Oryctolagus cuniculus: one gene and its partners. The protein of the gene in region 2 purifies or fractionates together with the protein of the main gene of each other region. This does not show direct contact. Links are inferred from orthologs where the notes say so. Each region holds a gene or a part of one and is shown on either strand. Other genes may lie near its edges.

The links.
Region 1: the proteins of TAF9B (region 2) and TBP purify together in Homo sapiens (affinity purification with mass spectrometry; 3 studies listed by BioGRID and IntAct, with this or other methods). This does not show direct contact. The link is inferred for Oryctolagus cuniculus from reciprocal best matches to the Homo sapiens genes TAF9B and TBP.
Region 3: the proteins of TAF9B (region 2) and TADA2B purify together in Homo sapiens (affinity purification with mass spectrometry; 3 studies listed by BioGRID and IntAct, counting the BioPlex papers as one, with this or other methods). This does not show direct contact. The link is inferred for Oryctolagus cuniculus from reciprocal best matches to the Homo sapiens genes TAF9B and TADA2B.

What each region holds. Positions count from the first base shown.
Region 1 is NC_091436.1:47,856-51,498, reverse strand, and holds part of TBP (TATA-box-binding protein), read left to right. Parts: intron 1-2,147; coding exon 2,148-2,542; intron 2,543-3,643. UniProt on the Homo sapiens protein: The TFIID basal transcription factor complex plays a major role in the initiation of RNA polymerase II (Pol II)-dependent transcription.
Region 2 is NC_091453.1:71,910,650-71,914,381, reverse strand, and holds the start of TAF9B (transcription initiation factor TFIID subunit 9B), read right to left. Parts: upstream 2,849-3,732; 5' UTR 2,824-2,848; intron 1,637-2,823; 5' UTR 1,571-1,636; coding exon 1,520-1,570; intron 907-1,519; coding exon 825-906; intron 648-824; coding exon 511-647; intron 434-510; coding exon 299-433; intron 1-298. UniProt on the Homo sapiens protein: Essential for cell viability. TAF9 and TAF9B are involved in transcriptional activation as well as repression of distinct but overlapping sets of genes. May have a role in gene regulation associated with apoptosis.
Region 3 is NC_091433.1:3,121,826-3,125,568, reverse strand, and holds the start of TADA2B (transcriptional adapter 2-beta), read left to right. Parts: upstream 1-1,062; 5' UTR 1,063-1,296; coding exon 1,297-1,566; intron 1,567-3,743. Other genes in the region: CFAP184 (cilia- and flagella-associated protein 184), read right to left, coding at 1-668. UniProt on the Homo sapiens protein: Coactivates PAX5-dependent transcription together with either SMARCA4 or GCN5L2.

The DNA of each region.
Region 1 (3,643 bases), on a different chromosome or scaffold from region 2:
GCCATTAGTATCTTCTGGGTCTCCTAGGTGGGTGCAGGGGCCCGAGGACCCCGGGCCATCTTCCGCTGCTTTCCCAGATGCATTAGCAGGGAGCTGGATTGGAAGTGGAGTAGCCAGGATTCAAACTGGCGCCCATATGGGATGCTGGCACCACAGGCGGTGGCTTTACCTGTTACGCCATAGCACCAGCCCGCTCCCCTTTTATTTTCCTGCTACTATGTTGGTGAGGCAGTTTGACACTTTTTGGGGTCTTAGATGTATTTGAGAATGTAACGAAAACTGTAGACCTTCTCCAGAAAATACACAGAATGTCGCATGTAACACTGAGGGTCACAAGGACATCATGAGCTCTTCAGTCTCTGTGGGCTCCCAGGATTTTGGTGTTGCGGGAAAGCATTGGCCTGGGTTTCAGGAAACCCTGGCTGTGATCTTGGCTCATCTACTCATGAGATCTGTGATCTTGGGCAAGTCATTTAACTTGTTTGGGTATGTCAGTTTCTTATCTTTAATATAGGAAAAATAGCTGTTTTGTGTTTCCCAAAGGCTTTTTTGTAAATTACTAAGTGTAACCTTTGTCTGTAAATACTTAGAAGTAAAAAGTAAACTGATGGAGGTAAAGCCCCACCTGCAGTGCTGGCATCCCATATGGGCACCAGTTTGAATCCTGGCTGCTCCACTTCCGATCCAGCTCTCTGCTATGGCCTGGGAAAGCAGTAGAAGATGGCCCACATGCTTGGACCCCTGCACCTGTGTGGGAGACCGGGAAGAAGCTCCTGGCTCCTGGCTTCAGATCAGCTCAGCTCTGGCCATTACAACCAGTTGAGGGTAAACCAGCAAGTAGAAAATTTTCTCTCTCTCTACCTCTCCTTCTCTCTCTGTGTAACTCTGACTTTCAGATAAATAAATAAATCTTTAAAAAAAAAAGTAAACATATATTTGGTAAATTTTGTTGGTTTACCCTTTTGCAAGAGCAAGTGATCAACCTTTTTGAATATTATTCCAATAATCATGATTGTGGCCAATACTTCAGTGTTTCCTGTGTGCCTATCATTGTGTTATCATCTAACCTGGAATGTATCCATTTCAATTGAGATGGGATGCTATCTATATGCTAGGATAATAGGGTTTTTTTTAAAGATTTATTTATTTATTTGAAAGTCAGAGTTACACAGAGAGAGAAGAGGAGAGGCAGAGAGAAAGAGAAGTCTTCCATCCGATGGTTCCCTCTCCCATTGGCCACAACATCCGGAGCTGTGCCTATCCGAAGCCAGGAGCCAGGAGCTTCTTCCGGGTCTTCCACACTCATGCAGGGGCCCAAGGACTTGGGCCATCTTCTACTGCTTTCCCAGGCCATAGCAGAGAGCTGGATGGGAAGTTGGGCAGCCGGGTCTCGAACCGGCGCCCATATGGGATGCTGGTGCTTCAGGCCAGGGCGTTAACCCGCTGCACCACAGTGCCAGCCCCAGGATAATAGTTTAAGCAGAGAAGTATGTTCACTCTGTTTATCTCCCTTATTCTTTCTAATGTTCTCAGATCATTATTATCTGCTAGATATGTTTGAAAGGTTAAGCAACTTTCTCAAGTTCTTGCATGTAATAAGCAGCAGTGGGATTCCAAATTGTAAGCTCTTATTTACTGTTAAAGAAGAAAGTGGGGGCTGGCGCTGTGGCGCAGTGGGTTAACGCCCTGGCCTGAAGCGCCGGCATCCCATATGGGCGCCAGTTGGAGACCCCGCTGCTCTACTTCCCATCCAGCTCTCTGCTGTGGCCTGGGAAAGCAGCAAATGGCCCAAGTCCTTGGGCCCCTGCACCAGCGTGGGAGACCCGGAAGAAGCTCTAGGCTCCTGGCTTTGGATTGGTGCAGCTCCGGCCATTGCAGCCAAATGGGGAGTGAACTATCAGATGGAAGACCTCTCTCTCTCTCTCTCTCTCTATGCCTCTCCTCTCTCTGTGTAACTCTGACTTTCAAATAAATCTTTTAAAAAAAAGAAGAAAGTGATATTTCTAAGACCTTTCTGGTCAAGTTTAGTGATCCTGTTATCCCTGGAGGGGTGTCTGTCTTTATACCTCCTACCTGTTCCACCAGGCATGTTTCACAGACATGCAATACCAGCCAGTCTAACCTGGCATTTGCCTTGCTTTCCACAGGGCGCCATGACTCCTGGGATCCCCATCTTTAGTCCCATGATGCCTTACGGCACAGGACTGACACCGCAGCCTATTCAGAACACCAATAGTCTGTCTATCTTGGAAGAACAACAAAGGCAGCAGCAGCAGCAGCAACAGCAGCAGCAGCAGCAGCAGCAGCAACAACAACAACAACAGGCTGTGGCAGCCGCTGCGGCTGCGGTTCAGCAGTCTACATCCCAGCAGGCGGCGCAGGGGGTCTCAGGCCAGACACCACAGCTCTTCCATTCACAGACTCTTACAACCGCACCCTTGCCGGGCACCACTCCCCTCTACCCTTCCCCCATGACCCCCATGACCCCTATTACTCCTGCCACACCGGCCTCGGAGAGCTCTGGGATTGTACCACAGCTGCAGTGAGTACCATAGCCAGTGTTGTGGGTCTGCTGTCCCTCGCCCTGGAGCAGGGGTGGGGCATGTCCAGCACCAGGGCTGTGTAAGGCCTGTGAGGTGATCTGCTCAGGGCCTGCCAAGGCAGCCTCAGGCACAACTCAAAATTCATTACATCTATAGTAGGCTGATTTTTAAGGTGATAATTTTGTATGACCTGTAAATGATGTTATAAATGCCCAAATGGCCCTTGGCAGAAAAAAGGTTCCCCACCCCTGCCCTAGAAGGTTCTCTTAGAGCTAAATTACTGTTTGTTGTTTCCAGATGGATCCATTTATTTAACAGAGTGGCACTAATGGTAATTGTGTCTCAAAATTTGCTTCACCTCTGCTTAAGAAAGCTGCCTTCCCTTTTTTCAAAAAAAAAGTTTTGTTTTGTTTCTTGTGTTTTTCTTTTTAAGATTTTACTGGGCCAGCGCTGTGGCTCAATAGGCTAATCCTCCGCCTTGTGGCGCCAGCACACCAGGTTCTAGTCCCGGTCGGGGCGCTGATTCTGTCCCGGTTGTCCCTCTTCCAGGCCAGCTCTCTGCTGTGGCCCGGGAGTGCAGTGGAGAATGGCCCAAGTCCTTGGGCCCTGCACCCGCATGGGAGACCAGGATAAGCACCTGGCTCCTGCCATCGGATCAGTGCGGCGCGCTGGCCGTGGCGGCCATTGGAGGGTGAACCAACGGCAAAGGAAGACCTTTCTCTCTCTCTCTCTCTCTCTCTCTCTCACTGTCCACTCTGCCTGTCAAAAAAAAAAAAAAAAAAAGATTTATTTGTTTGAGATGTAGAATTACAGAGAGGGAGAGACAAAGAGAAAGGTCTCTTCCTTTTCTTCATCCACTGGTTTACTCCCCAAATAGCCGCAAGGCTGGAGCTGGGCTGATCTGAAGCCAGGAGCCAGGAACTTATTCTGGGTCTCCCACACGGGTACGGTGGGCTAGCACTTGGGCCATCTTCCACTGCTTTCCCAGACCATAAACAGAGCTGGATCAGAAGAGGAACAGCCAGGACAAGAAATGGCACCCAAATGGGATGCCAGTGCCACGGGTGGAAGCTTAGCCTACTGCGCTGCAGCACCAGCCC
Region 2 (3,732 bases):
TGGGACGAAGCAGGTGATGGCTCAAATAGTTTGGTCCTTGGCACACCTGTGGGAGACCCAGATGGAGTTCCCAGCTCCTGGTTTTAGCTTGGTCTAGCTTAAGTTGATGTGGGCATTTGAGGGAGTTAACCACTGGATGGAAGACCTCCTTGTCTCTGTGTTTTTCAAAAAAATAAATACATTTAAAAAATTATCCTAACCTTTAATCTGCACTGTATACAAGAATTTGCTTTCTACGAATTCCCCTTGTATTCTACCTTTTTAAAAAAAGGAATACTTTTTTTTTTAACATTCTTACCTTTTTAATTAAGGACTTCAGCCTGTAGTTTGGAGCTGTTAAGCAGTATCTATCAGGTGGAAGTCTGGGTCCTGCATATGGCTTAATTAGTGGCAAAGGGGTTTGATTTTTCTGTCTTGCAATATCCAGCAAGAACTAAAGAAAAAAATCCTTATTAGAACTATAGTTTAAAAATGTTAATTAAATTTAACTTCAAATAAATATTTGCTCACATCTCTTGGAGGAGGAGAGGTAAAAGACTGGTCAGCACGACACTGGATTGCCAGTCTCACATCATCTGCATCAACATTAGGTTTCTTAGCATGGCTTGAATAAATTTTTGCATCATCCAGAATTGTAGTCACATATCCTTTAATAACAAAACAATTTTTTCTTAAACATGAAGATAACTTAATATTTACAGCCACTGCCTTAATAAAAGGTTCTACTAGTTTCTAAAAAGTTTATGAATTTTGGTTTTGAAAGCCAATAACACAAGCTTTTCAAATTCACAAGTCAGACCAGTTTTTGGTGTTTGTGAACTTACGGAAAGCAAATTCCAACATTTGATTTATGACCCTCGGTTCATACTCTGTGATTCCCATATCCTTCAGGATCTGTGCCATCACCTGTGGAGTCCAACAGAAATGCCAGATGCATAATCCAGGTATCAGAAATGAAGGCTGGACAAAAGCTAGCTAGTATTTCTAATTATGAGACAAGGACCCCCTTCTCCGGGTTTCAAACTCCTGCTCCTGATTGTGCTAACAAGTGTCAGTGATCACCCAAATCACGTCATACACTCTCGCCAAAAAACTTCTATTTTATTTTATTTTAGCGGGGGTGAGGGCTCTGAGAGAGAAAAAAGGCCAGGGTTGGCGTTCCCAGAGGAGGTAGGGGTGGCTCCAGCTGGTTGTCATTTTCGATGTGGCAGGAGGGGAAGCCACTCTATCAGAACCCAGGGCTGGCGGACTGGGCGGCGGGGGCCCGAGGCCCAGGAGATAAAATCGGGCGGCCGGCCAGTAAACTCGGTTGAACTGCTACCCTCCGGCTGGGCTCGGCCAGGGCGGCAGGAGAGCTCCTCAGGGTCCAAGGCGAACCGTCATCACACTCTGCCGCCGGCCGCCCCGGCTGGGCTGAAGCGAGCGCGCGAGCTCGCGCTCAGGCCCTCAGCCCGGGCCTGCCTCACAGGTGCCCTGCCGCGCCAGGCTCCGCGCCCCGCCTCTCAGCCTTCGCACTTACCAAAGCATCTCTCGGAGCGTTCTTGGGAGGCGCCATCTTGCCCGACTCCATGTTATCCTGACACTCGTCATCCGGGGAGAGCGGGCTACTCACAGTCTCCTCGCTCTGGCTCCACCCCTACGGGGGCCGGGAGGCGGGGTTAGCTCACCCGCCCGCGGCCGGCCAGGCAGCCAGTTCTCAGGCGCTGCCTCTGGGAAGCCGGGGCAGCCTAGAGCCACTCTCGGGCGCCCCAGACAGCGGAGAGAAGGAGCTGGATCGGGAGGAAGACAAGAAGTGGGAGAGCCTTCCCTGGGGAACACTTCCGGGAGCTGAACGACTTAAGAGTGCCGAGAAGTTGTTCTTCTTACAGCTGGTCACCAGCAAAGGGCACCACATGAGCCACCCTCGTATCTCCCCTGCCACCACCGTGGCCCCTCCCTGCTCCCACCTGCCCCAGCGTTGGGCTCCCATGATCAAACAGAACCCAGGTACATTTGAACTTCACGTCAACAATGAGCATGCTTTTAGTGTTAAGTATATCCCAAACATTGCTTGGGCTATACTTACACTACAGATTTAGTTGTGGATCTGACATTCAAATTTAGTAGGGTGTCCTGGTTTCAAATTTGCTAAGTTTGGCCATCCTGCCTGGTTCTCCACACAATAGCACAATAGGACTTGGGTTAGCTCTTATCACAGGAAAGGCTAGCGCCTCGCCTCTGACGGGCATCATGGGTCCTCCTGGAGCCCCTCCAGCTCCATCCCGTGGTCCGTGGTCCTCAGCAGCTTCCTTTCAGTCCCAAAGGAGACTCTCAGAGTCCTTCCTTACCTCACAGATGCCGCCACTCCCGCCTCACTAGAATCACCTAAGAACTGTCCATCTAGCCCGAGTAACTTTCAAGAAATACGTACCAGCCAACCACCTGGCTTAAAATGACTCAGAGAACGCTTTCTTACTTTTCTGCATCTACCAATGAATGCCCTAGCATCTGCCATCTTAGACTGCAAATGGAGGAGGCAGCCATGTTGCTGCTTTCCCTCAGCGGCCACACACCAGCAAGTTCAGTTAGGGAGATCTCTCTCCGAATCTCTGCCCAGTTCCACCACGATAACAAGTCCAAGCCAACTGCCTTACTGAAATTACAGAAACTGACCCCCCCAAATACTCATAGTGCTCCTCCAGTTTTCGTACAACCACAAATTAAATTTTGACTTCCTTAAAGCCCTCCAAGGGCTTCCCTTTCTTTCCCTCTCTCACACTCACACACAAATTCATACTGATTTCCCAGGCTTAGCAGACCCTGAAGTTTTGGAGAGTGGTTTACCTCAGAGGAGTCTTCAGACTCGGTTTTGCTCCAGGAAGCCATCTTGAGTTTGATTAGCAGCACCCCTCCGCACCCCTAACCCCCGCCCCAAGAACCACGTGTTCCCAATACATTGTTTCCAGTGGGAACATGCGTTCCCTCTTCCCAAGAACGCCTTTCTCCATCTTCTCCATGGCCAACTTCTGTGTGAAGCTAGTTAATGATGTTCCTTGTTTGAGTAGTAGAGTCTAAAATTAAAAAAAATTTTAGGAAAAAGCAAGGAAAAGCAAGCCTCTTTCACCTGTTCCAGCCTTTCATTTTGCATTCACAGAAGGCACCACTGTTTAGCAGTTTCTTGTTTATGCAATTTACAAATAGTACATTTCCCTCACCCAAATGTACTATAATCCTAGGGTGACCAGGCTTTAGAGAGCCAACTTGACACAGCTGTACTAGACACAAAAACAAGGTAAAGCCAACCCTCACAAAGCCACATAATATATATGTTTGTTATATATGTGTAATTACTTGAAAATAAGTGTTCTCTTGAAACTATATGCTTTTTTCTGCTTTCCACTGTGGAACACACTCAAACTACTGCTCTCACCTGCATGGACCTTCCCAATAACATGTCCTTGTCATGCACAAAGATATGCATTGCAGGTGCTGACACAAATTTTTTTTTTATTTTTATTTTTATTTTATTTATTTTTTTTTTTGACAGGCAGAGTGGACAGTGAGAGAGAGACAGAGACAGAGAGAAAGGTCTTCCTTTTGCCGTTGGTTCACCCTCCAATGGCCGCCGCGGCTGGCACGCTGCGGCCGGCGCACCGCGCTGATCCGATGGCAGGAGCCAGGAGCCAGGTGCTTTTCCTGGTCTCCCATGGGGTGCAGGGCCCAAGCACCTGGGCCATCCTCCACTGCACTCCC
Region 3 (3,743 bases), on a different chromosome or scaffold from region 2:
CAGCGCTGGTAGCGGCCGCGCTCGGCCAGCAGCGCGCGGTACTGCTCCAGGAGCTCGCTGCGCAGCTGGCGCTCCTGCTGCTGCTGCACCTCGGCCGACCACTCCAGGTCCTCGTAGTCGCCCGCCCGCTCCTGCGCCGCCGCCTCGGCCTGCGCGGTCGCCGCCTCGGCCGGCGGCCCGGGCGCAGCCTCGCTCGCCGTGGACGCCCGCAGGGAGGCGCGGGACGGGGCCCTCCTCTCCTCCCCCGCCGCCGCCGCCGCCGCCTCCTCTTCCTCCGCCGCCTCTGGCCGGGCCTCCGATGCCCGCTTGGCCGGCTCCTCAGCCCCGACCGTGGACAGCCTCCCCGGCTCCAGGGGCCCCTCCTCGCCCGCGGCCTCCGGGGCCTCCGGCCCTTCCGCGGCCTCGGCCTGCTCGTCCACGGGGGCGCCTCGCTCGGGGGCCTCTGCCGCCTCTTTCTCCTTCTCCTTGTCCTCCTCCTCCTCCTCTTCCTCCTTCTCCTCTTCACCCTCCCCCTCCTCCTCCGTCTCCGGCCTCGGCTCCTGCTCCGCAGGTTCACCCGGAGCCCGGGGGCCGGAGCTGGCCTCGATGTCGGATGGGCGCCAGGCCAGGCCTGCCTCGTCTCCGCTTTCCTCCATGGTGCTGACCCTGTGCTCCGTGTGGTCGTCCATCTCCGACCGGCTCGGCCAGGGCAGCGGACCTCGGCCGCAGGCTGTTAGGTTTCCCGGGGCAACCAAGGGCGCGCGCGGTGGGCCCGCCGATTGGCCCGCCAGCGGCTCGACGCCACGCCCCCTCAGCCCCGCCCCCTGAAAGCGCTGGCCAATAGCGAGCCGCGAGCGGGAGAGGCACGGAACCGATTGGGAGCGGGCGTAGGCCGGCGCCGCGAGGGGCGTGGCGCTCCGCCTCCCTCCCCGCCCGCCCCTCTCCCACCGCCAGGCCGGGGGCGGGGCGCCGCGCAGGCTCGGGGGCAGGCGGCGGCCGGCGCGCGCGGCGCGCAGGCGCAGAGCGGCGGGCCGGGTCCCCGCGCGGGGCGCCTGCGCGGTGCGGCGGGGCGACGGCTGTGGCGGCGGCGGCGGCGGCGGCGGCGGCGGCCGGGCCGGGCCGGGGCGCCTGCGAGCGGAGGCGGGCCGCGGCCCGGCGGGCCGGCGGCGGGGCGGCGCCTGGGCGGCGGCGGCCGCGGTGGCGGCGGCGGGCGGCGGCGGCTCGTGCGCGGCCGGGGCGGCGGGCCCCGCGGGCGGCCCGGCGCTGACGGCCGGCGGCGCGGCGGCGGCGGCGGCGGCGGGCGGCGAGCGGGCGAAGATGGCGGAGCTGGGCAAGAAGTACTGCGTGTACTGCCTGGCCGAGGTGAGCCCGCTGCGCTTCCGCTGCACCGAGTGCCAGGACATCGAGCTGTGCCCCGAGTGCTTCTCGGCCGGCGCCGAGATCGGCCACCACCGCCGCTACCACGGCTACCAGCTGGTGGACGGCGGGCGCTTCACGCTCTGGGGGCCGGAGGCCGAGGGCGGCTGGACCAGCCGCGAGGAGCAGCTGCTGCTGGACGCCATCGAGCAGTTCGGCTTCGGAAACTGGGTGAGCAGCCCCCGCCCGGGTCCCCGCGGGCCAGCGCGGGGCGGCCGCAGGTGCGTCCTGCGAGGGCGTGGGCCGGCCCGTGTGCTGCCCCGCCGGCTCCGGGCCTGGGCCCGCCGCCGGGCGCTCGGGAGGTGGAGCTGCACTGGACGCGCCCGGGCCGGCGGGGAGAGCCCGGGCCGGCTCCTCGGGGGTCTCCCGGCCCCCCGCCCCCACGCCCGAGCCGGGAAGGGGCACCCACCGCCCCGCGTCCCCCGCGTCCTGCGCCTCTCCGTGCGGTGAGCAGGGGCTGCCTGCGTCTCTGTGCGCAGCCCTGGGGTCTCCGGCTCCTCCGGCTGACGGTGGGCGCTGGGCCGGCCCTTCCCCCCGGAGCCCCGTCTCACTGCCCCGCGCCGGGCTCTGCTCTGTGCCGACGGCGAACGCCGGCCCTCGGCCCAGCCCGCCTTTCTTACAGCCTCGCCCGCGTGTCTCAGCGACACCGCCACTCGGGAGTCCACCCGTCACTCACGACACGCCCGTCAGGACTCCCACCCGTCTCGGGACTCCCACCTGTCACTCAGGACTCCCACCTGTCACTCACGACTGCACCTGTCACTCACGACTGCACCTGTCACTCAGGACTCCCACCTGTCACTCACGACTGCACCTGTCACTCACGACTGCACCCCTCACTCAGGACTCCCACCCGTCACTCAGGACTCCCACCTGTCACTCACGGCTCCACCTGTCACGGCTCCACCGGTCGCTCACAACACCCGTCGCTCAGCACCCCCACCGTGAACGGACACCCACCCCGGGCGCGCCTTTCCAGGACAGGTCCAGGCGCTAGCCTGCCGATGCCCCTGCTGACAGCCCGGCCCTGCCGCGCCCCTGGCGGGGTCCCCGACGGCCCGTGTCGCACACCGCCTGCGTTCGGCCTGCCCTTGCTGCGTGCCCGGTGCGCTGCCCGCCCGCCCGCACGCCCGCACGCGGGCGCTGGAGCTGTTGGCTGAGCTCCCCGTGGGCCTCGCGGGGCCTCAGCAGCCCTGGGCTGGGCCTTTGGACCAACCGGTCCGACACGGACAGGGCTGGGGAGGCGGAGCCTGCGTGCCGTGTGGCGCCTGGGGAGCCGTCCAGGTGAGGGCAGGGAGGGCCCTGGGGCGCGGCTGCCAGGGCCTGCGTGGTGCGGCGCCGGCCGGCCAGGCCGCGGGTGGTGCCGGCGCGGCTCTGGCCTCTGGCTGTGCTGCTGGGCGAGCTGCCTCACCCCTCTGGGCCTCCAGTCTGCGGCTGGAGCCGCGTGGTTCCGCCCGCGCGGGGGGCGGGGTCTCGCTGGGCCACAGCTCCGAGCCGGCGCCTGTCCAGGAGCCCGTGGCTTTTTTTTTTTTTTATTTTAAATTCTATTTCTCTTTGAACCTTTTCGTGATTTTTAATTCTATTTATCTTTGAACTATTTTTTGGTAATTTTTTATTATGTTTATCTTGGAACATTTTAAGGAAGATTTTGCTTTTATTTTTTGAAGGGCAGAGTTGGGTCCTCCGTCTGCTGGTTCACTCCCCAAGTGGCTGCAGTGGCCAGGCGGGGTCAGGCCGAAGCCGGGAGCTGCTTCCGGGTCTCCCGTCCTCGCCGCTTTCCCAGGCCACAGCAGGGAGCTGATGGGAAGTGGGGCCGCGGGACTGAACCAGGGCCCTGATGGAGTGCTGGCGTCGCAGGCGGCCGCTGTGCTCCGTGCACCGCAGTGCCGGCTCCGGTCCCGGGACTTCGTAGGTGCTGGAGCCGGGTGGCTGCGGGCTGTGGGGTTCCCGAGCCTGGGCCTGCCGCCCGGGCTCAGCACTCAGGACCCTCGAGGCTGGGGTGTGGCCAGATCCTGCGCTGGTTCCGTGGGAGCCCACGCACGGGACAAGGACAGGGCCGCGTCGGGGAGGTGGAGGGAGGAGCACGCCAGGCCAGAGGCCCCGACTTCAGCAGCAGGTCCTGGGTGAGGCTCAGCGGGAGTCGGGGGTCGCAGGCGGGGCGGGCTGAAGGCAGCCGAACCATCACAGGAGGGGCCGGGCCTCGAGGGGCCGTGGGAGTCGAGGTTTGAGTAGAATGGGACAAGCATGTGGCTTGTCTGGAATCTGGCCAGCCCGGCGCATTGCCCGTGCGCCCCGGCTCATCCTAGGAGGCAGGGGAGTCCCGAGGGAGGGCTTTCCCCGCGTGATGA